Linked DNA regions of Oryctolagus cuniculus. The protein of the gene in region 3 purifies or fractionates together with the protein of the main gene of each other region. This does not show direct contact. Links are inferred from orthologs where the notes say so. Each region holds a gene or a part of one and is shown on either strand. Other genes may lie near its edges.

What was found.
Region 1: the proteins of VIM (region 3) and XPNPEP3 purify together in Homo sapiens (affinity purification with mass spectrometry; 3 studies listed by BioGRID and IntAct, with this or other methods). This does not show direct contact. The link is inferred for Oryctolagus cuniculus from reciprocal best matches to the Homo sapiens genes VIM and XPNPEP3.
Region 2: the proteins of VIM (region 3) and SYNC purify together in Homo sapiens (affinity purification with mass spectrometry; 3 studies listed by BioGRID and IntAct, counting the BioPlex papers as one, with this or other methods). This does not show direct contact. The link is inferred for Oryctolagus cuniculus from reciprocal best matches to the Homo sapiens genes VIM and SYNC.
Region 4: the proteins of VIM (region 3) and SQSTM1 purify together in Homo sapiens (affinity purification with western blotting; 3 studies listed by BioGRID and IntAct, with this or other methods). This does not show direct contact. The link is inferred for Oryctolagus cuniculus from reciprocal best matches to the Homo sapiens genes VIM and SQSTM1.
Region 5: the proteins of VIM (region 3) and GAN purify together in Homo sapiens (affinity purification with mass spectrometry; 3 studies listed by BioGRID and IntAct, counting the BioPlex papers as one, with this or other methods). This does not show direct contact. The link is inferred for Oryctolagus cuniculus from reciprocal best matches to the Homo sapiens genes VIM and GAN.
Region 6: the proteins of VIM (region 3) and NES purify together in Homo sapiens (affinity purification with mass spectrometry; 3 studies listed by BioGRID and IntAct, counting the BioPlex papers as one, with this or other methods). This does not show direct contact. The link is inferred for Oryctolagus cuniculus from reciprocal best matches to the Homo sapiens genes VIM and NES.

The regions. Positions count from the first base shown.
Region 1 is NC_091442.1:116,931,534-116,935,473, reverse strand, and holds the start of XPNPEP3 (xaa-Pro aminopeptidase 3), read right to left. Parts: upstream 2,801-3,940; 5' UTR 2,724-2,800; coding exon 2,660-2,723; intron 1-2,659. Other genes in the region: ST13 (hsc70-interacting protein), read left to right, coding at 3,294-3,403. UniProt on the Homo sapiens protein: Catalyzes the removal of a penultimate prolyl residue from the N-termini of peptides, such as Leu-Pro-Ala. Also shows low activity towards peptides with Ala or Ser at the P1 position.
Region 2 is NC_091438.1:139,843,896-139,847,395, reverse strand, and holds part of SYNC (syncoilin), read right to left. Parts: intron 871-3,500; coding exon 1-870.
Region 3 is NC_091444.1:43,369,833-43,373,332, reverse strand, and holds part of VIM (vimentin), read right to left. Parts: 5' UTR 2,207-3,500; coding exon 1,644-2,206; intron 997-1,643; coding exon 936-996; intron 1-935. UniProt on the Homo sapiens protein: Vimentins are class-III intermediate filaments found in various non-epithelial cells, especially mesenchymal cells. Vimentin is attached to the nucleus, endoplasmic reticulum, and mitochondria, either laterally or terminally.
Region 4 is NC_091437.1:67,652,959-67,657,093, forward strand, and holds the start of SQSTM1 (sequestosome-1), read right to left. Parts: upstream 2,801-4,135; 5' UTR 2,440-2,800; coding exon 1,998-2,439; intron 1-1,997. UniProt on the Homo sapiens protein: Molecular adapter required for selective macroautophagy (aggrephagy) by acting as a bridge between polyubiquitinated proteins and autophagosomes.
Region 5 is NC_091449.1:63,462,506-63,466,440, reverse strand, and holds the start of GAN (gigaxonin), read right to left. Parts: upstream 2,801-3,935; 5' UTR 1-2,800. UniProt on the Homo sapiens protein: Probable cytoskeletal component that directly or indirectly plays an important role in neurofilament architecture.
Region 6 is NC_091438.1:42,101,868-42,105,809, forward strand, and holds the start of NES (nestin), read left to right. Parts: upstream 1-1,142; 5' UTR 1,143-1,291; coding exon 1,292-2,074; intron 2,075-3,112; coding exon 3,113-3,237; intron 3,238-3,942. UniProt on the Homo sapiens protein: Required for brain and eye development.

The DNA.
Region 1 (3,940 bases), on a different chromosome or scaffold from region 3:
TGTAAGGGAGGATGGTCCAAGTCCTTGGGCCCTGCACCCCATGGGAGACCAGGATAAGCACCTGACTCCTGCCATCAGATCAGCGCGGTGCGCTGGCGCAGCGTGCCAGCCATGGCGGCCATTGGAGGGTGAACCAACGGCAAAAAGGAAGACCTTTCTCTCTGTCTCTCTCTCTCACTGTCCACTCTGCCTGTCAAAAAAAAAAAAAAAAAAAAAAAAAGACTCACCACAGAAAAGAGAATCCATGGTCAAATACATATTGCCAAATACATCTTCTCAGAGACTGAGAATTACACTGTTATGGACATTAAGAAACACAGTACTGCCCACACGTGGGTCCTTGTGGTGTAACACATATTTTAAAAACAAAAATCTCCAGTCACACCAATGGCTGCAACCCATAGATCAGCCGTTCTGTTTCAGTTCTGTGCCTCTGCAGATGTTCCCTCCACCAGGATAGCTCCTTTCCTCTAGTCTGCTTGCTAGAAGTCTTTCAAACTTCAGATTAACTTTCTGATTTTTTTAATTGTTAATTTGAAAGGTAGCCAGACAGACATGGACTTGAGGTTTTCTAAATGACAAGCAAGGGATGGGCATTTGGCCTAGTGGTCAAGATGCCCACGTCCCACAGTGATTCTTCTGCCTCCTATTCCACATGCCTTTGATGCAGACTCTGGAAGGCAGCAGCTGACGGCCCAAGTAGCTGGGTCCCTGCCACGCAGGTGCGAGACCTGGACTGAGTTCCCAGCTACATGCTGTAACCATGGCCGAGTTAGGCCTGTGCAGGCATTTGGGGAGTGAACTAGAGTATGCGGCTGTGTATGCTAGGGTTCTCACTCTCTGCCTCGATTATATAATTTCTTAAAAAAAAAGATGGCCGGCACCGCGGCTCACCAGGCTAATCCTCCGCCTTGCGGCACCGGCACACCGGGTTCTAGTCCCGGCACACTGGGTTCTAGTCCCGGTCGGGGCGCCGGATTCTGTCCCGGTTGCCCCTCTTCCAGGCCAGCTCTCCGCTGTGGCCAGGGAGTACAGTGGAGGATGGCCCAAGTGCTTGGGCCCTGCACCCCATGGGAGACCAGGAGAAGCACCTGGCTCCTGCCTTCGAATCAGCGCGGTGCACCGGCCGCGGCGGCCATTGGAGGGTGAACCAACGGCAAAGGAAGACCTTTCTCTCTGTCTGTCTCTGACTGTCCACTCTGCCTGTCTAAAATCAAAAAAAAAAAAAAAAAAAAAAAGGGAGAAGAAGAAGAAGAACTCCTGACTTATTGTGATCCTGTTTCAGCTCCTCACTGGTCAAACAAGCACCTCTGCCCTTACTGGACTTATGACAATTCAAGATCATTCATTGAGTTCAAAAAGCTGATATATATTTTATGACATAAGAGGTTAAACTAGGGGCTGGCGTTATGGTCTAGCGGGTAAAGCCACCTGTGACATTGACATCCCATGGGGCACCGGCTCACCTTCCAGTTGCTCCATTTCCAATCCAGCTCCCTGTTAATGGTCTGGGAAAACCAGCAGACGATAGCCCAAATGCCTGGGCCCCTGCTATCTATGTGGGAGACCTGGAAGAAGCTCCTGGCTCTTGGCTCCTGGCTCTGTCCTGGTCCAGCCCGGCCTAGCCCTGGCTGTTGTGGCTCTCTGGGGAGTAAACCAGCAGATGGAAGATGCCTCCGTCTCTCCCTCTCTTTCGAATAAATAAAAAAAAAAATCTTTTAATAAAAGAGGTTAAACTTGCTAATTTATTTCAAATATTTGGGCGTGTATAACCAGTATCTAGTCCTAAGTCTCAATTACTCGGGTGCTGGACAAAGCCTCCTGAACTCCCCAAGTCAGAGGCACAGACAGCTGCAGGTGTGGCCTCTGCGGTGAGCGCTCAATCGCACGGGTGCCTTTTCGCTGAATTCCACGCAGGCAGCTTCCCGCGGCCGATCTACAGAACGCAAGAGCAAGTCCGGCGCGCTGGACACTGGCTTTTATTCTTACGGAGTGAGGAGGAGGTGGGTCCGTTTTTCCAGGACTCCGTATACACACGCACCAAGGGACACGGATTTGCTGTCCAATACCATATGCCTGTTACGGCCCCCTCCCAACCTGAAATCCGACCCCATGGCGGATCCGCCTGGAAGGTGCAAGATGCAGCTTCCACTCTCACCAGGTTAAACAGCACGCCTGGCAGAGGGCAGTCCCCCTTACTCCTCTCGTCTCCACAGACAGGGCGGCCCGGGAGTAGCTCTTGTGGGGAGGGCCTGTTCAGAGAGGCTTGGGTCTTGTGCGTGCTGAAGTCAACCCCGACGACGAACGGGATTTTACGTTGACTTCACCGAAACTGGAGCTCCCTGGCCTTAAGCAAGAGGCGACCACTGACTCAACGTGCGTGGGCCGCAGCATCTCGGGGAGACAGCCCCCCTTTTCGGGGCTGGCACACGTTCGCAGTCACCGCAGCGACAACGCACGAGCCCACCCTCTCCCAGGCGCAGGCGGGAACGCAGACGTCCGCAGAGAACGCACAGCGCGGGTTAGGAGCGGCGGGCCCCAGTAGAAGCGTCCGCAGACACCAGGGCCCGCCTGCGGCCAACCTGAATCCCCGTCTAGCGCGCCCCAGTTTCTCAGGGCCGGCACTACAGGGGACACCTTTTGGGAGGAGAGGTCTGACCTGAGAGGCCGCGAGCGCCGGCTATGGCGGGAACCAGCTTGGGAGCTGAGAGCAGCCAAGGCATGACGGTCTAGCCCACGCGTCAGGAGAAGAGGCCCAGCGCTCCGGGAAGCCGCCTGCAGCAGGGCCGCGTCGCCAGGAAACCAAGCCAACCGACCCGCCCCTTCCGGCGGGCGCCGTTCCTGCGGGCGTGCTGTGATGACGTCACGCCCCTCCTGGGGCCTTCGCTCTAGCCGGAAGGTCCGTTCTTCGGTCCTGGGGTCAGGCTCCACTTAATGCCCACGTCCCCAGAAGGTCGTATTCTGACAGACTGCCCGGAGGGGCCGTCTCCCGCTTCTTTGAAGGCACCCACGTAGGGAGTCGGCCTCTCCTGGGAGCCGGTTCAGAGGTGTGTGCGACGAGAGGCAGGCAACAGCACGAACACCCACACTTCTAGAAGGTTCTGAGCAGTGCGCAGCGGGTAGCAGCGAGCTAGCGAAGGACCCGGGGTCACGAGACCGTTGGGTGGGCGGAGCCGGCGGCCGGGGAGGTTCTAGTCTGTTCTGCCTCGCGGCAGCCGCCCCCCTACTAACGCGGTCACGTTGAGCCAGCGCCCGGGCCTGGAATCGGGGCCGCCAGCCGCCGCCCGCCGACCATGGATCCCCGCAAAGTGAACGAGCTCCGGGCCTTCGTGAAGTTATGTAAGCAGGACCCGAGCGTCCTGCACACGGAGGAGATGCGCTTCCTGAGAGAGTGGGTGGAGAGGTGAGAGCCGGGCCTGGGGTCGGACCGTTGGCGGCGGCGGCGGGCGGGCGCCCCTCGGCGTCGGGGTCCGGGTCCGGGCGCGGGCGGCGATTTGCCGGGCCCGAGGGAGAAGCCGGGGGTCCCGGCGGCGGGCAGCGCTGCGCCCCGACCACCTCCCCCCGCACCCCGAGGGTGGCCAGGCGTGCAGGCCATGGTCGCCAATGGACGCCAGTGGACGCCGGAGTCCTGGGCGTTGGGCGCCGGGCGCGGGTTTCCGTTTCTGCGGCTGCCGCGTTGGGTGGTGGTGGTCGTCGCCTCGCCGAGGTTCTGACTGCGTAGACGTGGTTACGCGCGGAGTCTGCCCCGTTAGCAAACGTGCGACCCGAGGCCCCCCCCCCCCCCCCCCCCGCCGAGACCAGAATGTTCCCACGATCTGTGCTTGGCTCCGCGCAGGGAATTCATTCCGCAGGCGCCGTGCCAGGCGCCGGGTGCGCGCGAGCGCAGGCGGAGGTGCGCGCTGGTGTGTGGAAGTGGCGGCCTGCACGCCGCGGGGTCTCC
Region 2 (3,500 bases), on a different chromosome or scaffold from region 3:
CCCTGGCGGCTTTCCGCCATGAGACTTTCGAACTGGGCAGAGAGCCGCCGGCTCTCCTGGAGGAAGTGCCCATCGCTCTGGCTCGGGGGTGCCTCGAGTCGTTGCCGCAACTGCTCCTTCTGCTTCCGGTAGGCGTCCCGGAGCTGCGCCAGCTCCTCGGAGAGCTGGGCCGCCCGCGTGGTCAGCACCTGCCGACAGTCGGCAAACTGGGCCACGTCCTGCTGGCGGCACTCCAGCTGGTACTGGTAGGCCACGCACTCCTTGGTCACCTTGAACAGCTTCTGCTTGACCAGCCGCACCTCCTCCCGGAGCCCGTCCCGCTGCAGCTCGGCCTGCGCGTGCAGCTTGTAGGCAGCCAGGATGTCCCCGTGCACTTGCTGCACCTCCCGCAGGGCCGGTTCTCGCAGCAGCACCAGCTCGTGGATGAGCTGGTCCCGCTCCTCTTCCAGGCGGGCCACGGCCTGCACGCACTGCTGGAAACGCTGCTCCAGCACCTCCAGGTCCTCGGCGCTCAGGCTCTCCTCGGTGCTGGGCGGCGGCGGCGGTGCGACTGCCCGGCTCTCCTCGGCGCTGGGCTTCTCCTCGCTCCCGACCGCCTCTGCCTGGTCCGCGGCCTGCACGGGCCTCGAGGTCTCCCCTGGCTCCGCGGGCGCCACCGCAGGCTCCTCCTCATCTGGCGCCTCCTCGATGAACAGGGTCGCCGCTGGCTTCTCAGTGTCTTCCAGAGAGAGCGGCTCGGCCAAGTCATCAGAGTCCCCCAGGTAGAGAATGTCTTCTAGGTTCAGGGACCACTCCAGAGAGAGCGCAGCTTCTGGGTCCAAGGCCTCTGCCTCATTCAGGGATCCAGAGGTCTCCTCTCCTCCCGACGCCCTGCAAGAGAGACAGATGGTTGGGAGTGAAAGGGCAGCCATGGAGCCGAGTGCTGGTGTCCAAGGCCAGAAGCCCAGGCGTCACACCCACACACACAGCCCCGCCACCCTGACGGCACCCCCGCGGGTCACTGTGGTCCCTGACCCATCCTTGAGGGCGGGAAACTCCCAGGGCAGGCGTCCCTGTGTCCCACGGTCCTAGCCACACCCTGTGTTAGAAAACTTTCCTTGCCATAGCTGCGTGTGGGCTCCATTCTCCCTTCCGGACTCACACAGTTCTAACGGTTTTCCCCCAGTGTTCCATCCATGCCACACCCTCCAGGCCCTCCTCACTGGCTTCTCCAGGTGCTCCGTCCAGGTCTCCCACATGGGTGGCAGGGGCCCAAGTACCTAAGCCATCATCTGCTACCTCCCAGGTACACTAGCAAAAAACTGGATTAGAAGTGTGGGGCAGGGCGGGGCGGGCGGCGCCTCGGCTCACCAGGCTAATCCTCCACCTGCAGCGCCGGCACACCGGGTTCTAGTCCCGGTCGGGGCGCCGGATTCTGTCCCGGTTGCCCCTCTTCCAGGCCAGCTCTCTGTTGTGGCCCGGGAGTGCAGTGGAGGATGGCCCAAGTGCTTGGGCCCTGTACCCCATGGGAGACCAGGAGAAGCACCTGGTTCCTGGCTTCGGATCAGCGCAGTGCGACAGCCGCAGCGCACTGGCCACAGCGGCCATTGGAGGGTGAACCAACAGTAAAGGAAGACCTTTCTCTCTGTCTCTCTCTCTCACTGCCCACTCTGCCTGTCAAAAAAAAAAAAAAAAAAAGAAAAAAGAAAAAAAAAGAAAGAAAAAAAGAAAAAAAAAAAAAAAGAAGTCTGGAGGAGGTGGGTGACCTCAGGACTCCTCTATGGGATGCAGCATCCCAAGCAGGGGCTTACCCCGCTGTACCACAACACCCACCCCGCCCCATCGTGCTCTTCCAAGTGCTGAGTCCGACTAAAATCCTTACGGCTGGGGGCCAGTGCTGTGACATTACAGGTTAAGCCTCTGCCTGCGGCGCCAGCATATGGGTGCTGGTTTAAGTCCCGGCTGCTCCTTTTCTGATCCAGCTCTCTGCTATGGCCTGAGAAAGCAGTGGAAGATGGCTCAAGTGCTTGGGCCCCTGCACCCACGGGGGAGACCCAGAGGAAGCTCCTGGCTTCTGGCTTTGGATTGGCTCAGCTCAGCTCTGGCTGGTGTAGCCATCTGGGGAGTGAACCAGTGTATGGAAGACATCTCTCCCTCTCAAATAAATAAATAACTTCAAAAAAAAAAATCCTTTAAGGCCTTTTCACACCAAGTGCTATTAAGCCACATCCCGTATTCCTGTAAAACGGCATCTTGTTAGAAGTAGCCAATCTCCTGGCCCATCAAAGGCACGACTCAGATTCTGTGACTCCAACATAGGAGATCCTTGACGGAGCTGCCTGTGGCCTGCCAGCTTAGTCAGTTCCTGCACTGGCCCATGGATGGTTGTGGGCTTCAGTTTCAAATGCATCTTACCTACCGTGGACCTTAGGAAAAATTTTAAAAAGATGCATGTATGTATTTATTTGAAAAGTAGAGTTAGAGACAGAGAGATCTTGCATCTGCTGGTTCATTCCCCCAAAAGGCCTCAACATCTGGGGCTGGGCCAGGCCAAAGTTCGAAGCCAGGAACTCTGTCTGGGTCTCCCACGTGGGTGCAGGGGCCTGAGCACTTCCACCTTCAGCTGTTTTCCCAGGCACACTAGCAGGAAGCGGGATTAGAGGCAGAGCAGCTGGGACTCAAGCCAGTACTCTGACACGGGAGGCAGGTGTCATGCTTTCCATGTTTCAACTCATTTAATCATCATCATTCTATGAGGCTGTTTTCATGTTATCCCCATTTTATAGATCAGGAAACTGAGGTTAGAACAGATGCACTTGCTCAAGGTAACTCAGACCCTCAGTGTGAATCACTCATAAAACAGACTAAATTTGAGCATAGCATAGCCTTCAGGAAGTTTTTCTCCCTTCCAGATACAGAGCACAGTTGTCCTTTGGCGTCTGTGGGGGATCGGCTCCTGCGTGAGACTAAAATCTGCAGCTGCTCAAGTCCCTTATAGAATACGGCGGCACAGGTGCAGGCGTTCTGGTGCAGCAGGTGAAGCCGCCACTTGGCATTCCTGCACCCCGTATCCACGTGTCTCCAATCAAGACCCACCTCTGTTTCTGACCAGCTTCCACACTTGCTGGCTTATGGCTCCTGTTCAGCTTGGCACAGCCCTGCCTGTTGCAGGCATTTGAGAAGTTAACTAGCAGATAAATCTCTTTCCCTCCCTCCCCCCTTTCAAATAAACTTTGTTTTTCTTTTTTTAAGATTTATTTATTTGGGGCCGGTGCTGTGGCGCAGCGGGTTAACACCCTGGCCTGAAGCACAGGCATCCCATATGGGCGCCGGTTCTAGTCCCGGCTGCTCCTCTTCCCATCCAGCTCTCTGCTGTGGCCTGGGAAAGCAGTAGACGATGGCCCAAGTGCTTGGGTCCCTGCACCCACGTGGGAGACCTGGAAGAAGCTCTTGGCTTTGGATCAGCGCAGCCAATTGGGGAGTGAACCAGCATATGGAAGACTGTCTCTCTGCCTCTCCTC
Region 3 (3,500 bases):
AATTGTAAGTTAAAATTCCTTTAAGTCCATCTAACTTTAGAGCCAAAAAAAAAAAAAAAAAAAAACACTCTGCAGTTATTTTTGTTGATGGAGATAGTGTCAAAGACCCCCATACAGGTCTTTCAAAACACAAAGAATGACTGTAGCGTGTGCAAGGTTTCACATCGCAGCCTTCCCAAGTCTGGGCCAGAGAGTAGGTAGCTGATGTTGGCAAATACTTCTGTCCAATGAGAACTGTGCTTACATCACTACATTCTCAATGAGAATGTAGCCTGCAGCAAAGCTGTTCTGGGAACACAAAGACTCCTATTATGTCTGTCTAGGGCCACCACATTTGCCAGCACGTCTGTATCTACATTCCTGGTGAAGCCCATGGGAACCACTAACACCCTTCAGCTGAGCGCGCAGATGGCTGTGCCTAGTGATAACTTCCACCTAACTTGAACGCCACAATAGACTTGCAGAGCAGGGAAGCAGCCTACTGGCTGCATGCCAGCGTCTCATCCTCCAACACATTTTACATTGGAAGCCACAGGGCCTAACTGCGCTTTTTGTGGCCTTGTAAAAAGTCAACCAGCTTGGCTTTAGCAAACCAGAATCTAAGCCAAACTGTAACTGTTCGCAATCCGAATGTTAATGTGTTGCAAAAATGATATGAAAAAATATGTCTTGGGGGGAAAATAACTGTTGAAACAAAACAAAACAAAAAAGTATAAAAGACTTTATGTCCTAAGCAACTAAGGAAATCATTCAAGGGTTTTTTTTACTGAGAGGCTCTAAGCCGTGGTCTTGCCGCCGCTAGGGGGCTTTGCGCACAGATGTGAAGTTTTGCGCTTATAGACTGAAAAGTTAGAAACTTTGAGAGCGGGCCGGCGGGGTGGCTGGGTGTGGCCCTGAGGCCGCCTTGGGGGGGGGGGGGGAGGGAGTCCACAAACCTGTCTGAAAGACTGCAGGGTGCTCTCGGCTTCCTCTCTCTGCAGCATCTCCTCCTGCAACCTGAAAACAATTGCTCGTCAGCCAAAGAGGAACCGGGAAACCGCCGGGGGCGGGGCGGCCACACCCAGCCACCACGTCGCCCGACCGCGAGTCGCGAGTCCCGAGCCGCGAGCCGCGAGCCACGAGCCACGGCGCCACCCCAGCGGGCAGCAGACGAGCGACCGCAGCCTTCGGCACCACTCTCCCCGGCGGGTTTTCGCGGGACCTGGGGCGGCCCGGCGTGGAAAGGCGATGCCAGTGGCAGCCGCCGCCCCGCCCCTGGGGACCCTCGGCCATCCCTTTGTCTTGCTTCCTCCGCAGCCTCCCCCTCCTCCTCCCGCCTGGGGACTGGCAGCGTGCCAGCAGGGGCCGGGAAACTTTCTGAAAGTTTGGGCCCGTCGCTTCGGTCGTGCCCAAGGGCCTTCGAGCACGCACAAAGCGGTCGTTTTAAGAAATCTCTTAACTTGAAACGGACCTACTTGGGTTATGGGTAAGGGAAATGCTAACCGCACGGCTCGGGTTCAGGGCGGGGCTGCGCCGCCGCAGCCACATTGCCGCGCCCCTGCAGTCCCCTAGGCTGCAGCCGCCCCGGCCAACGCCCCAAGGGCGTGGCAGCCCTCTCGGGGGGGCCCGGTCCCAGCTCCCTCCCGGGGCCCCGCAAGCCTTACTTCTCCCGGAGCCGCATGATGTCTTCGGCCAGGTTGTCGCGCTCCACCTCGACGCGGGCCTTGTCGTTGGTGAGCTGGTCCACCTGCCGGCGCAGCTCCCGCATCTCCTCCTCGTAGAGGTCCCCCAGGCGGGACTTGCCCTGGCCCTTGAGTTGCTCGAGCTCGGCCAGAAGGATCTTGTTCTGCTGTTCCAGGAAGCGCACCTTGTCGATGTAGTTGGCGAAGCGGTCATTCAGCTCCTGCAGCTCCACCTTCTCGTTGGTGCGGGTGTTCCTGAACTCGGTGTTGATGGCGTCGGCCAGGGAGAAATCCACCGAGTCCTGCAGCAGCCGCACGCCGGGCACACTGCTCCGCAGGCGCCCCGCCGAGGAGCGCGTGACGTACGCGGTCCCCGACCCCGAGGAGAAGAGGCTGCGGCTGTTGGTGGGGCGCAGCGCGCTGCCCAGGCTGTAGGTGCGGGTGGACGTGGTCACGTAGCTCCGGCTGGAGCTCGGCCGGCTGGCGGTGCCCGGGCCGCCGAACATCCTGCGGTAGGAGGACGAGGACACGGACCTAGTGGACATGGCTGCAAAGGGCGGTGGTGGGCTGGGCGGCTGCGGCGGCGCGGACGGGCTCCGAGAAGAGAGCGAGGGCGCGGTGGGTGTGGGCGGTGGAAGCGCTGCTGCGTCTCTGGCGCGGGGACCTCGGAGCGAGAGTGGCAGAGGACGGGACCCCGTCGAGGGCGCTGTTTTTATAACCCGGTTAGGAAAGAGGGTCCCCTCCCACTGCCATCCTAGCCGCCGTGAGCGCCAGCCAATGGGGACCCGGCGAGAAGTGGGAAGGGTGGGCCGGGGCTTGGGGCGGGGGCGCCCTGGAGCCTTCCCAGTCTGAGGCTCTGGCCTGGGCCACGTCCCGTTACTTCGTGGGCTGGGCTGGGCTACGCTGAGACTTTCTGGGGCTTTCCTCAGGATGGCCGGAACTCTTTTTCATCCCAGGATGTTAATGAAGGCGGGGTTGCGCCGTGGTGGGTGTGGGGATCCGCTTGGATCTGGACCAAAAGGGTCCCGGGCACCCGGCCCAGGGGGCGTGGGAGGAGGCGCGCGGGCGGGAGCGGTGCGTGGCGCCTGGATTGCTGCGGTTTGGGAGCCTCTGGATGGGGAGACCTGCGGGCAAGGGGCATGAACAGGGGGAGTAAGGGATCCAGCAGATCGCCAGGCGCGGAGGAGAAAGAGACAAAGAGCGCCCGAGATTGGAGCGCGGGGTGGGGGCGCACACAGCCAGAGACGCAGCGCGGGGCTTCGCGCAGCCTCGGGCACCGCCTGTTTGCAAGGGCGGGCTCCTCTGCGCGCGACGCTTCTCAGTGTGTCCTCTTTAGGGGGCTCCGGCCCGGTCTCGTCCAGGGACTCAGGGGCTCAGTCCAGCTTGGGACGGCCGAGCTGCGAGGCGGCGGCCGAGGGAAGCCCAGGGGAGAAGGGTGGGGTCGCTGAGTCACGGGCGGTGACTCACAGCACCCCGCCGAGGGGTAGGGCACCTAGCGGTTCAGGGGAAACCGTTAGACGAGCTTGACTCAAGTTTCCGCGGGCCCCGCGCGCACTTATCGCTCCAATCTCCACTGATTTGGAGCTGGGCCTCCGCTTTGATGTGTGCGGCCCGGGCTGGGGGCACAAGAGCGCCCCTAAGTTTTTCAGAACTCGCCGAAGTCTGGCTTTGCTCCCAGGCTGCGAACTTCTCGCTCGTGAGAAACTTCTGCAGCCCTTGGAGCGTCACCAGGCATGGGTCTGGGCGCTCTTGAAGGCGCTGGTTGAAGACCTGGCTTTGCACGGTTCCCTGCCGCCCTCGCCCGCCCGGGCTCCTTTCGTCCGCCCCCTTCCTCCCCCC
Region 4 (4,135 bases), on a different chromosome or scaffold from region 3:
CAGGGCTCCCATGTAGGAGGTGAGGACCCAATTACTTGAACTTTCACCTACCCCCTGCCAGCATCTGTCCTGGCAGGAAGCTGGAGTCGGGAGCTGGGATCCAACACGGGCCCCAGGTATCTTAATGGGTGAACTAACCACTAGGCCTGATGCCCACCAAGGCCACTTCTTTAGGGGTGGGGCTGGACAGATCGGGGATAAGAAGGGAGCCTGCCCATTCACTGGACAGGAAGTGTGCCCGCCTGGGCCTGAACCTGGGCCACGGTCACACCTAAAAGGCAAAGTTTCCGCGTACACTACACGGACAATAACAGTGCCCTGTCCCTCAGAGGCCCAGCCCGCCAAAGGCTCTGGGCTGTCTGCAATGTTTAAGTGGAGATGAGCCCAGAGGCCTGCTGCTTTCTCCAACGAAGAAAAAAGGCTGAGTCCTTCTATGTTGGCTTCCGTGATTTTAAAGCATTGCCACACAGACCAGACCAGACCGCACCGTGCACAGGCTGCAGGCGGGGCCTGGACTTGGGCACCAGAGGGCAACATCTACCCTCAGAGCAAGAGTGGCACTTTTGCGAAACAACCCAAAAGTCCATCAACTAATGACACAAACACGATATGGCATATCCACAAAAGAAACGAATACAGATGCAGCCTACACCTCTGATGAACCTGAACGCATTTCCCTAAGGAAAGAAGCCAGACACAAAGCTAAACTGTACAACCCCCTCTCCACCACTGTCCAGAAGAGGACGCCCAGGAGAGAAAGCAGCTCAGCGTTGCAGGAGCTGAGGGAGACAGGTAAAAGGCATGGGGTTCCAGTGGAGAGGAAGGGGTTCTCATGCTGACTGCCAGCGCCTGGCCCCGCTCTCCAGCCCCAAGTCTGCTCAGAAGTTCCAACTGGTGAATGTGTTAAAGACCACTGCATCGGGGCAGGCATTTCTGCAGCGGCTAACTGGCAGCCCGGAACACTGGCAGCCCATATGAAAGTGCCTGGTTGGAGTCCAGGCCACTCCACTTCTGATCCCGTTTCCTGCTAATGTGCACTGGAGGAGGCAGCAAAGGATGGTTCAAGTGCCTGGGTTGCTGCTACCCTCCTGGGAGACACTGATGGAGTTCAGGCTCCTGGCCTGGCTGGGGCTGGCAGCTGTAGCCATTGGGGAGTGAACCAGCAGATGGTAGGTTGGGGTGTGTGTGTATGTGTCTCTCTGCCCTTTCAAAATGAAATAAAATTTTAAACCCTTGAATTATATACTTTAAATGAGTAAATTTTATGGTATGTGAATTACAGCTCAATAAAATTGTCACCAGGAAATTAAAAAAAAAAAAAATGCTGGGCAAGCTACTGAGGGCGGTCCCAGCCCTGCTCCCTCCCAGGGGCGGGCCTTGGCCGAGGACCTCCCTCCCACACTGCTGTCCCGGGACCCCACCCCCAGCAGCAGCTACCGGTCTGAGCAGCGCAGCCAGAAAGAGCGGTGGCTCCGGGCTTGTCCCCACTCTGAGTTTGTGGAGAACGTTTCGACATCGGCCGTCTCCCCACTGCCTTGTCCCTGGGCGACCTGCGGCCTACCCCGGGCTCAAGGGCCCTGCGTCCCCCAGCCGCCCACGCCCACCACCCACTTTCAGGGCTCGCTGAACGCAAACCTGGCGCCGGCGGGCCCAGCCCCGGCAGCAGCAAGATGTCAGTGTAACCCGAGTGCCCGCCTGACCACCTTCTCAGCCCAGGGCCAGAGAGGACGCCCCGGCGCGTCCTTGGCGAGATCTGCAACATTATGGCGGGGAACAGGAAGCATCTAACGACCCAAAGTCCCCAGCCCGCGGGGCCTGATCGCCTCGGCCCCTGAGGGACAGGGCCTGGGTCACTGGGCTGGCACCCGAGGTGCAAGTGGGGTACGCGCAGGTCACCGCTCACCCAGAGCGCGACCAGCACAGCATCCCTTCCGACGCAGCCGGCACCGACTAGGAAAGGGCAGCCCCGGACCCCGGCCACCCCCCGGCCCGCTCACCGCGGTAGTGCGCCTGGAAGCCGCCGGGCCGCAGCGCCGGGAACAGAGCGGCCACCCGGGCCAACAGCCGCTCGCAGGGCCCGGGGCCGGCCGCTGCTTCGGCCTCGGCCTCCGGCTCCGGGCTGAAGCAGAAGCTAAAGCGGCGGATCTCGCGCGCCGCCTCCTCTTTGCCCAGGAGGTAGGCCTTCACGGTGAGCGACGCCATCGCAGCCGGAGAACGACGAGCAGCTGCGCAACCGAGGGAGCACCGGAGGAGGCGGCGGCGGTGGCGCCAGTGGCGCGTGGCTTTTGTAGGGCACGCGGAAGCCCCGCCCGACGTGGACTCCTGGGGGCGGAGCCTGCACTCTTCGGGTGCCGCCCCCCACCGCCGGGGCCGCCTCTCGCGAGTCTCCCTGCCAGGGCCCCGTGCCTGCTTGCCCCTCTCCCCGCTGCCCTTTGACATGGTCTACCGCTCTCAGTCTGTCCCCTCATTGCCCCCAGGGCACCGGAGACCCCCAGAGCAGGCCTCAGCATCTGTACCTCCTGAAAGGAATGGGCTGGGGTCCTGTCCGAGGCCCCTCTCCGGCTTGGGCCTGGCTGTGACTCAGCAGAGCAGGTCCCTGGTCATCAGCAGGGGTTGCCCAGCACAGGACAGAGGAGGACACACAGAGCCCTCTATCCCAGGAGGCATCTAGGCTGCCCAGTGGGCACCACCAGCCGGAACCAGCTGGCTGCTAGGGTACCCTGCTGCCCTGCCATGCGTGACCCCCAGAAGGCAGCCCTACACCAACCACAGCCTCCTGCATGAGCGTCCCTAGCTGTCCAGGGCCGGCTGGCCGGCTCGTCCACTAGCGACGGCAGTCAGTCACCAAGTGCTGACTGCAGCTCAAAAAGACACATGGACGCCCCCAGCCCTGTGAGCCCAGCAGGCTGAGCCTGACGCCCCAGGCCCTTCCTCACCATCACCAGGAATGGTTGATCAGGGGTCCTTGTTTTAGCACAAGAACTTCAGCCATGGGACAGAATAGCAGCAAGCGTGCTGGCCAAGTCTGATGAAAAGAATGCACCTGACAGAGTAGGCGGGCATCTCCATCAAGAGCTGAACCCACCTGCTTTCAGACTGGGGTTTCTATGGATACGGGTATAGCCCTCTTTCTCCTCTCCCCTCCCCTCCCCTTCTGGGACACGTCTGGGGGAAGGGCTTCCAGAGTGTGGAATTCCTGAAATTCCTCCCAGAACTTCATCAGCAGTATTATTGGACCTAATAGCCACACACACACACACACACCCCCCCAATGCAGGGCAGGGATTTCTCTAAGCTGCCCCTGGGAAAAGGCTGGGACCCACTCAACAAGGTTATAGAAGGAGACCAAGGCTCTTTTTTTAAAAATGTGTTTATTTATTTTACAGGCAGAGTTTTGGATAAAGAGAGAGGTCTTCCCTCTGCTGGTTCACTCCCCAAATGGCTGCAACAGCCAGAGTTGAACTACTTCGAAGCCAGGAGTTCCTTCCAGGTCTCCCACGTGGGTGCAGGGTCCCAAGGACTTGGGCCATCCTCCACTGCTTTCCCAGGTCATAGCAGAGAGCTGGATCAGAAGAGGAGCAGTCGGGACACAACCGGTGCCCAAATGGGATGCGGCGCTGCAGGTGAAGGCTCAGCTGCTGCGCCACAGCACTGGCCCCACCTGAAACTAAGACTTTTGAGATGTAAATACTGCTCTGCTTCCCAGGCTTGCTTCTGTGGTTCTTCCCTCACCCAGCCACACAAATTCCCATTTCTTCCCTCTCACAGATGCAGGCTGCCTAACAGACCTGTCAGGGCAGGGGGCCAATGCAGCAGGTGCCTGCCTGTAGGGCCTCAAGAGTGTTGGCCACAAGGGCGGCCAAGGGGATGGGACCAGTCACCTTTCAGCTGGGAATCCAGAAACTCTGCTTCCTGGGACCAAAGTGACCTGTCTGCAAGGCCTGGGGGAAGGCGCTGGGAAGGGAGGTGTGTCACCCCCCCCCCCAGACCTCCCAGGCAGGTCCTGTGACTAAGAGTCAGCCCTGTTGGGTCAAACCCCCCCCCTTTCAGGTCAAGTTTGTGGGAGCAGCTTGGGAAGCCCAGCGATGAGGGTGGGCTGGTTGGATGGGGGTTAGGCAGATGCACAGGTGGCCAG
Region 5 (3,935 bases), on a different chromosome or scaffold from region 3:
TTGGCGCGCCTTTCTCCAAGGAGCTGCTGTACTTTGAACGCTGCTCGGGCCGGAAACTCGCTGCGATGACTTTATGCAGGCCGCCTCCTAGCTTGTATGTTCATTGTCTCTTGGCACCACTCGCCGGCGCCAAGCCCAGTGCTGGGCACACAGTGGTGCTCACTGAATGTCAGATGGAGGGAACTGTGACTATAGGCGCTTAATAAATTTTTTCTAAATCAGTTATACACATTATTTGTGGTTTTTTTTTCCTCAAGTGGATTGTCATTAGAGTCAAAAACGACATATGGCAGGGAAAGTTCACTGCAAAATGTAGCTACTTGAAAATATGACTGCGGGGGCTGGCGCCCTGGCCTGAAGTGCCGGCATCCCATATGGGCGCTGGTTCGAGTCCTGGCTGCTCCACTTCTGATCCAGCTCTCTGCTATGGCCTGGGAAAGCAGTAGAAGATGGCCCAAGTCCTTGGGCCCCTGCATCTGCATGGGAGACCCAGAAGACCCAGAAGAAGCTCCTGGCTCCTGGCTTCGGATCGGCACAGTTCCAGCCGTTGCGGCCATTTGGGGAGTGAACCAGCGGATGGAAAACCTCTCTCTTTCCCTCCCCCCCCCACTCCTCTCTGTGTAGCTCTGACTCTCAAGTAAAAAAAGATAAATCTTTAAAGAAAGAAAGGGCACCGCGGCTCACTAGGCTAATCCTCTGCCTGTGGCGCTGGCACCTGGGTTCTAGTCCCGGTTGGGGCGCCGGGTTCTGTCCCAGTTGCTCCTTTTCCAGTCCAGCTCTCTGCTGTGGCCCAGGAAGGCAGTGGAGGATGGCCCAAGTGCTTGGGCTCTGCACCCTCATGGGAGACCAGGAGGAAGCACCTGACTCCTGGCTTCGGATTGGCGCAGCGTGCCGGCCATAGCAGCCTCTTGGGGGCTGAACCAACGGTAAAGGAAGACCTCTCTCTCTCTCTCTCTCTCTAACTCTGCCTGTCCAGAAAAAAAAAGAAAGAAAATGCTGAGTGTGGAGTGCTACGTCTTCCACCAGGGTCAGATGGCCGGCCATCCTGGAGTGGGAGGGCGGCCTTAGCTGAAGTAACTGGAGGAGGGTGGGATTAGTCAGCCTCCTCTGGGCACACGTGGACCTGCGGTTATTGACAGAAGGAAACAACGAGAGGACCGGGCCGGAGGCTCCTGGACAGACCCGTGTAGGCCAGGAGGAGTTGCTGGCCTGAGGGGGCCGGAGGGCAGGACACCTGTACAGTTCTGCCACCCCCGCGGTTTGCATGGTTTGCGCCTCCATCGCGTGGTGAACTCACTCTTCCTGTAGCTCAGCCTCGACCCCCGCAGTCAGCTCCCCTGCGCTGTGTCCATGCCTGTGTGCTGCACCTGCCACACCGCACCACCATTTGTTGGTTAAAAGTCTTCCCCTAAGCTCCTGCGTCCTCTCGTGTCCCCAGTGACTGGTGCTTGACGGGAGAACCCTGAATGCGTCACATAATGAGCTAGGGGTGGGAGTCAGGTACATGACCAAAGCAGAACGGGATTTGGGGTGTCAGACCATAGGGGTGAGGTGGTTATGGGGAACTGATGGCTCTGTAGGGTAAGAGTCCAGTGGTACCAGATTTGACAGTTCTTCAACAGAGTGAACAGTCAGGTTTGTCAGTATTAACACATTCCATTTGGAGACTGAAGAAGCATGGGCTGCAGACAGCATCTGGCTTTAATTCATTTTAGAGGGAATCAGGGAGCCATCTTGCTTTGCCAGTAGGAAGTGTTGAGTTGGGTTCAGGTGCCCTGGGGAAGGAAGAGGGCCCAGGTGTGGGAGGGAGGATTTGGGAGGCAGAGCCGGCCTCCCACTGCTGCAGGAGCCACTCCCGTGGAGCCTGGGACTGTTTTGAAGCCTTTCTTGATATTGCTCAAACCAAGCCGCCCTTGACATTATGGCCAAGAGAGTGGGGAATATCATGTTATTGTTCCCCCACATTCCATAGGTGTCAGAAATCAGGTGCCATTGTGCAACGTCATCTAAGAGATGTGATAACATCTTGGCAGTTTCAGTCTCAGATAAATGGTTTTGTTTTATCTGAGAACCAAAAAGGATGTTTGCAAGAGATCAACAGTAATCACTCACTCAACAAGTGTTTAGACACCTGCCATCTGACGTGCTGCGGGCACAGGGACACTGACGCTACCATGCGAGTGGTATTAGAGACTTTTGCTACCTTTGCACTTTCCCCCATTTGTATTTTCTGCATGAGCCATGTGCCCTTTTTACAACCAGGAAAATAAAAAACAAGAAAGCAATTTCCATTTGCAGAAAGAAGAAGGTTCTCTTGCTTTGAAAAACGAGTCAAGAGACGGATGCCCTTGGGGATTTGGACTTTCACAATAAGAGAGAGAGGCCAGTAAAAGCAGTACTGAACGGCAGGGGAACAACTCACAGTTTGAAAACTTTTGGGCCGGCGCCGCGGCTCACTAGGCTAATCCTCCGCCTTGCGGCGCCAGCACACCGGGTTCTAGTCCCGGTCAGGGCACCGGATTCTGTCCCGGTTGCCCCTCTTCCAGGCCAGCTCTCTGCTGTGGCCCGGGAGTGCAGTGGAGGATGGCTCAAGTGCTTGGGCCCTGCACCCACATGGGAGACCAGGAGAAGCACCTGGCTCCTGCCTTCAGATCAGCGCAGTGCGCTGGCCGCAGCATGCTGGCCATGGCGGCCATTGGAGGGTGAACCAACGGCAAAAGGAAGACCTTTCTCTCTGTCTCTCTCTCTCACTGTCCACTCTGCCTGTCAAAAATAAAAAAAATTTAAAAAAAATAAAAAACTTTTCAGAACTCTCACCTCAAATCCAACATCCATGTGCGTGAAACCTGAGTGAAGGTCGCACGCGGCCCAGCAGGGCCCACGCAGACCGAGGCGCAGCCCTTCTGCCTTCCAGCCCTGTAAGCTTTTCCATGACACCAACCTGACTCTTCGTAAACATTAATTTGGTCGAGACCGTCTCTTCTGATTCATCTTGAGGTAGTCCTCAGACATTTTATTGGGTAGGTCTGTCATGTGTCCAAATCTAAATATAGTTCTTTTGTTTCCGAAAAATCAAAGCGCTTCCAAATCGCTGAGTCAGAGAACCTCTCCGTGCCTGCAACGTTGGCTCTGTATGTTTACAGTCGCCAGAGAGGTGTCTTGGGCACCAGTGCACTAATTAACTGGCCACGATGCTCCACGGAGTGAGTGACCATCTCTGTCCAGACCCCGCACCCAGCACGACGCCGGACACACACAGTAGGGGCTCGGTAAGTACCTGCCGCATACAGGGAGGAAGGACTCTTCTCTCCACAGAGAGCACCTCAGAGCTGCTGTCCCCGCGTCCCCGCGTCCCCTCCAGCTGCTGAGCTGGCGGCCCCTTGGCATCCCCAGGCACGTGTCCACAGACGCCAGGAAATCAACTCCTGACTATCCCTGGCATCTCACCGTTCCCCAGGCAAGTGGGAGCGCCATCATTTCCCCACGAACAGGAACCTGGGGTCATGCAGCCTTCATCGCATTCAGCGAGTCCTGCAGCTTCTAGGCAGGCCCTCCTCAGTGTGCAGCTGCTTCTAGAAGCCTCCACCAACAGCCCCTGACCTAGCACCATTCGACTCCTGCAGCAGCCTTCTCACCCTACCCTGCTCTTCTCTTGCCCCCTTGTGGATTCTTCCTCCCCATAAGGCAATAAGTCAAGCTGCTTCCTCATTCAAAACCCTCCATCAAAATCAAGGAAAAAAAAAAAAAAGCTAAAGTCCTTACTGTGGCCTACAAAGGCCTGTGGAATGTGACCTCTGTCTCATCTGTGACCTCATTGCCCGCCACATCCCCCCTCTCAGTGTGTGCCAATCAAACTGGCCTTCTTGCTCTTCCTTGAGCAGAGGCCTGCCACGCACACACCTCAGGGCCTTTGCACTGCCTCGTTTCATAGCCTG
Region 6 (3,942 bases), on a different chromosome or scaffold from region 3:
CTTCATAAATTTATTTTCTGTTTCCAGTCTGGTAAACATTGACGTTGGCCCCACCAGGCTATGGGTGCCTGCTCCTTGCCTGGGACCCATGACCTCTTGGGGTGTCTAAGGGCCCAGAAGAGAAACTTTCCACCCCGTGCCCACCCCACCACTCAGGGGACACCCCCAAGGACCCTAGGGATCTCGGATATTCGGCATCCCTGTCCCAGAGACCCCTCCCCCCCCACCTGCTTAGCCTTTATTCCACTTACCCCAGGTCCCACTGTGCCCCCGTGAGCGCCCTGCCGCCTGGACTGCGGGATCCATGGAGGCCGTTTGGAGAGTTACGTCAGCCCATGGAAGGGAAATATTAGAACACAGGCTGACCCACCACCCACGCTCAGCAAACTTGGACTTCCTGGGAGGGAGGGAAGAGCTGCCTCTGGGACTTCTGGATCGCATCTTTACGCCACCAGGCGGTGCTCTCTGCCTAAAAATCCCTGGAGCCGGGAGAAGATGGGGGCCCGTCCCTGAGAACTGGGGTATAGGAACCAGATGTAGGAAGGAGAGGGTGAAACAGAGAAAGCATTCCCAAGTCCGTTCCACGCGTTCCCTTTGTCTGGTCTCTCCCGTTCCTGACAGGAGCTAGGCAATAGTGTGTGCGTGTGTGTGCGTGCGCGTGTGTGTCCCCCAGTATCAGATATCTGATCCTTTTGTCCTCCAAGAAACCCCATCTCTCTCCAGGGTCAGCTTTTGCTATTTATGAAAAGTGTGGCCACGCCCTTTCAGAGGCCCATGGAGCTTCGCCTTCTATGGATGAAGAAAGTAAATCTTAGAGGAATTCGGGAACTACTGCTCTTTTGGGAGTGCTGAGTAACGGGATGCTCGCACCCCGGCCTCGGCGGCCCCTGCGGGCTCAGTTCTGTGCCTCATCTGCTTTTCTGGGCGTTGTGATCCTTCCTCACCGCGCCGCACCCGTCTGAGAGCCGCCACCGTCGCATAGGGTTCCTTGCGGCAGGGTGTCTCCCGTGGTCCACCCTCCGGCGCCCCGAGCCCGCAGGGAGACAGCCCCGTGCCGAGGCTGAACTCTAAGGGGTTAAAGCCTGGACCCGCCCCTTTCCCGCCTGGCTGGCGGGAGTATGAATAGCCTCGCTCCCACTCCCGACTCTCAGTCGCTCGGGCTTCTCCCCGCCCCGCCCCGTCATTGTCCCCTCCGGTCGCCTTTTTTCTCTTCCGTCCTAAAGGCTCCGAGGGCCGCTCCCTTCTCCCGGTGCCCCGCGTCCGTCCACCCTCGGTGGGTCAGACGAGCAGGATGGAGGGCTGCATGGGAGAGGAGTCTTTTCAGATGTGGGAGCTCAACCGGCGCCTGGAGGCCTATCTGGCTCGGGTCAAGGCGCTCGAAGAGCAGAATGAGCTGCTCAGCGCGGAGCTCGGGGGTCTCCGGGCGCAGGCTGGGGACTCCTCCTGGCGGGCCCGCGCCGACGATGAACTGGCAGCCCTGAGGGCCCTCGTGGACCAGCGCTGGCGGGAGAAGCACGCGGCCGAGGTGGCGCGCGACAACCTGGCCGAAGAGCTGGAGGGTGTGGCCGGCCGATGCCAGCAGCTGCGGCTGGCCCGGGAGCGCACGGCCGAGGAGGCAGCCCGCAGCCGGCGCGCCGTCGAGGCGGAGAAGTGCGCCCGGGGCTGGCTGACCAACCAGGCGGCCGAGCTGGAGCGCGAGCTGGAGGCTCTGCGCGCCGCGCACGAGGAGGAGCGCGCCAGTTTGAACGCGCAGGCTGCCTGCGCCCCCCGGGGCCCCGCGCCGCCCCGCGCGCCCCCCGCGCCCGCGCCCGAGGTGGAGGAGCTGGCCCAGCGGCTGGGCGAGGCGTGGCGCGGGGCCGTGCGCGGCTACCAGGAGCGCGTGGCGCACATGGAGACATCGCTGGGCCAGGCGCGCGAGCGGCTGGGCCGCGCGGTGCAGGGCGCCCGCGAGAGCCGCCTGGAGCTGCAGCAGCTGCAGGCGGAGCGCGGCGGCCTCCAGGAGCGCAGGGCGGCGTTGGAGCAGAGGTTGGAGGGCCGCTGGCAGGAGCGGCTGCGTGCCACTGAGAACTTCCAGGTGAGAAGGTGGCAGACCTGCATGAGACCAGGCTCCAGGAAGCCCCCAGGAGGCTCAGACTCCTTCGGGAAAGGAGTAGGGCATGAGTGACTGCCAAGTCGGGAGCCGAGCCACTTCTCAGAAAACTCGAACCTGGGGACAGCCCGGCTCAGTGGGCTGTCAGAGGCCTCTGCATATGCTTGCCTGGATAGGCAGGCAGGCCAGGACCCCTGGCAGCAGCCCCTTCCCTCCCCGAGGGCCCCTGCCTAGGTTGTGTGGTCGCTCAGCAGACGCCGGGCACACCCCCTCCGTGCGTCACCCCTGATTTGGCTCTCCAGGGTCCTTTGTACCCTCCTCTCCCTGCAGGAGGGCCGAGGGGCCTGGATCAGGGCCCAGCAGCCCCTCTCCCCTGTCTGGGCTCCTTGGCTCCTGGGAGCACATTCCGGAGGCCTGGGACAGCTGCTCCCCCTCACCCGGCACAGATGTGACCAGCAGCTGAGCAAACAGCCTGTTGCGTGGGCCAGACAGAGGTCTCGCCATGGCCACCCCCCCCCCCACCTCCTCTCAGAGGAGAAAGATTCCAGAACTTGTGGGAAGTGGAGGGGTGGGGGCCTGCTGACGGCCCGGCCATGCGGCTTGCAGTCCTGCAGGCTCCAGGCCTCCTGATTAATCGTTTTTCCTTCTGCCTCCACTTTTTTCTCCTCTTCTCTGTAACCCATCTCCTCTCCTCCCTCACCTCCCCCTTCCTGTGGGAGCTGAGTTCCCAGCATGTGCTACCATTTAATCAGCCTCCTCAGAGGAGGAGCCGGGCTGGGGGAGAGGGGGCCGGGAGAGGGGCTCGGCTCTTCTCCACCAGCACAGCTGGGGTTCCCTGGGTGGGGGTGGGGGTGGGGGTGGGAGTGGGGTGGGGGAGGGGGACGGGGGTCTGCTGTAGCTTCAGCAAACCAGAGAGCTGGAGACGCTGGGGCTGCTGCGGGCGGGGGCCACTGCGGGGCGGGGGCTGTAGGTGAGTGGCCCGAGGCCCCCACCATTCACTGACTCCTCTGGCTTGCTCCGCAGCTGGCCGTGGAGGCCCTGGAGCAGGAGAAGCAGGGCCTGCAGAGCCAGATCGCCCAGGTCCTGGAAGGTCGGCAGCAGCTGGCACACCTCAAGATGTCTCTCAGCCTGGAGGTGGCCACCTACAGGTACGGGTGGCCCCGGACCCACCCAGGCCCCCGGATGCCCACGCGCTTACCAGGGCAGGGGCCCCTTTGCTGAGGGGACCCAGAGGCATGAGTGGGGGCAGCTCTGCCCTCCCTGGGTTCTGTGATTCGAGGCCGGTCACTCGTGTACCAGCACATGTCCCACCTGAGCCCACCTGCTGCTCGCTGGGTCCAGGACCAGAGAAGTGGCCAGTGGCCAGCAAAGTGCCGCAAGCAGAGTGAGATGGCCTCTGGAGACGGGGCTGGGCACCCAGGGGGCATCTGCATGGGCCCTCGCCTAGGGGGGGGCGATGCCAGTCTCTGCGTGTGTGCGCACACCTAGGGAGCCTGTTCTTGGGCAGCCTCAGTTAGGAGACTTGCCCCCTCTCCGGGCTGCGGCCTTGCCTGGGAGCTAGGAGCTGCGCTAGGTGACTTCCAAGACCTTTCCTAGCCTGAACTTCATGGAGCCGGACTCCTCTCCAGCCCAGTGCCACTGGCCCTGCCCAGCCCTTTGCTGACCGCATTTCCTGTTGCCCCAGGGAAAACTGAAACCCAGGACCTGCTGGCCTAGCGTCCGTCTGAGCCCCCGGAAGGGGTTTTGCGCCTTGTGAAGGGTGGGGGCCCGGCTGTTAGGGGCACCCCCCTGCCAAGGCCTCTGCTCCCAGAGTCCATGGCAAAATAAAGGCAGGGGTGCTGGGGCATGTCCGG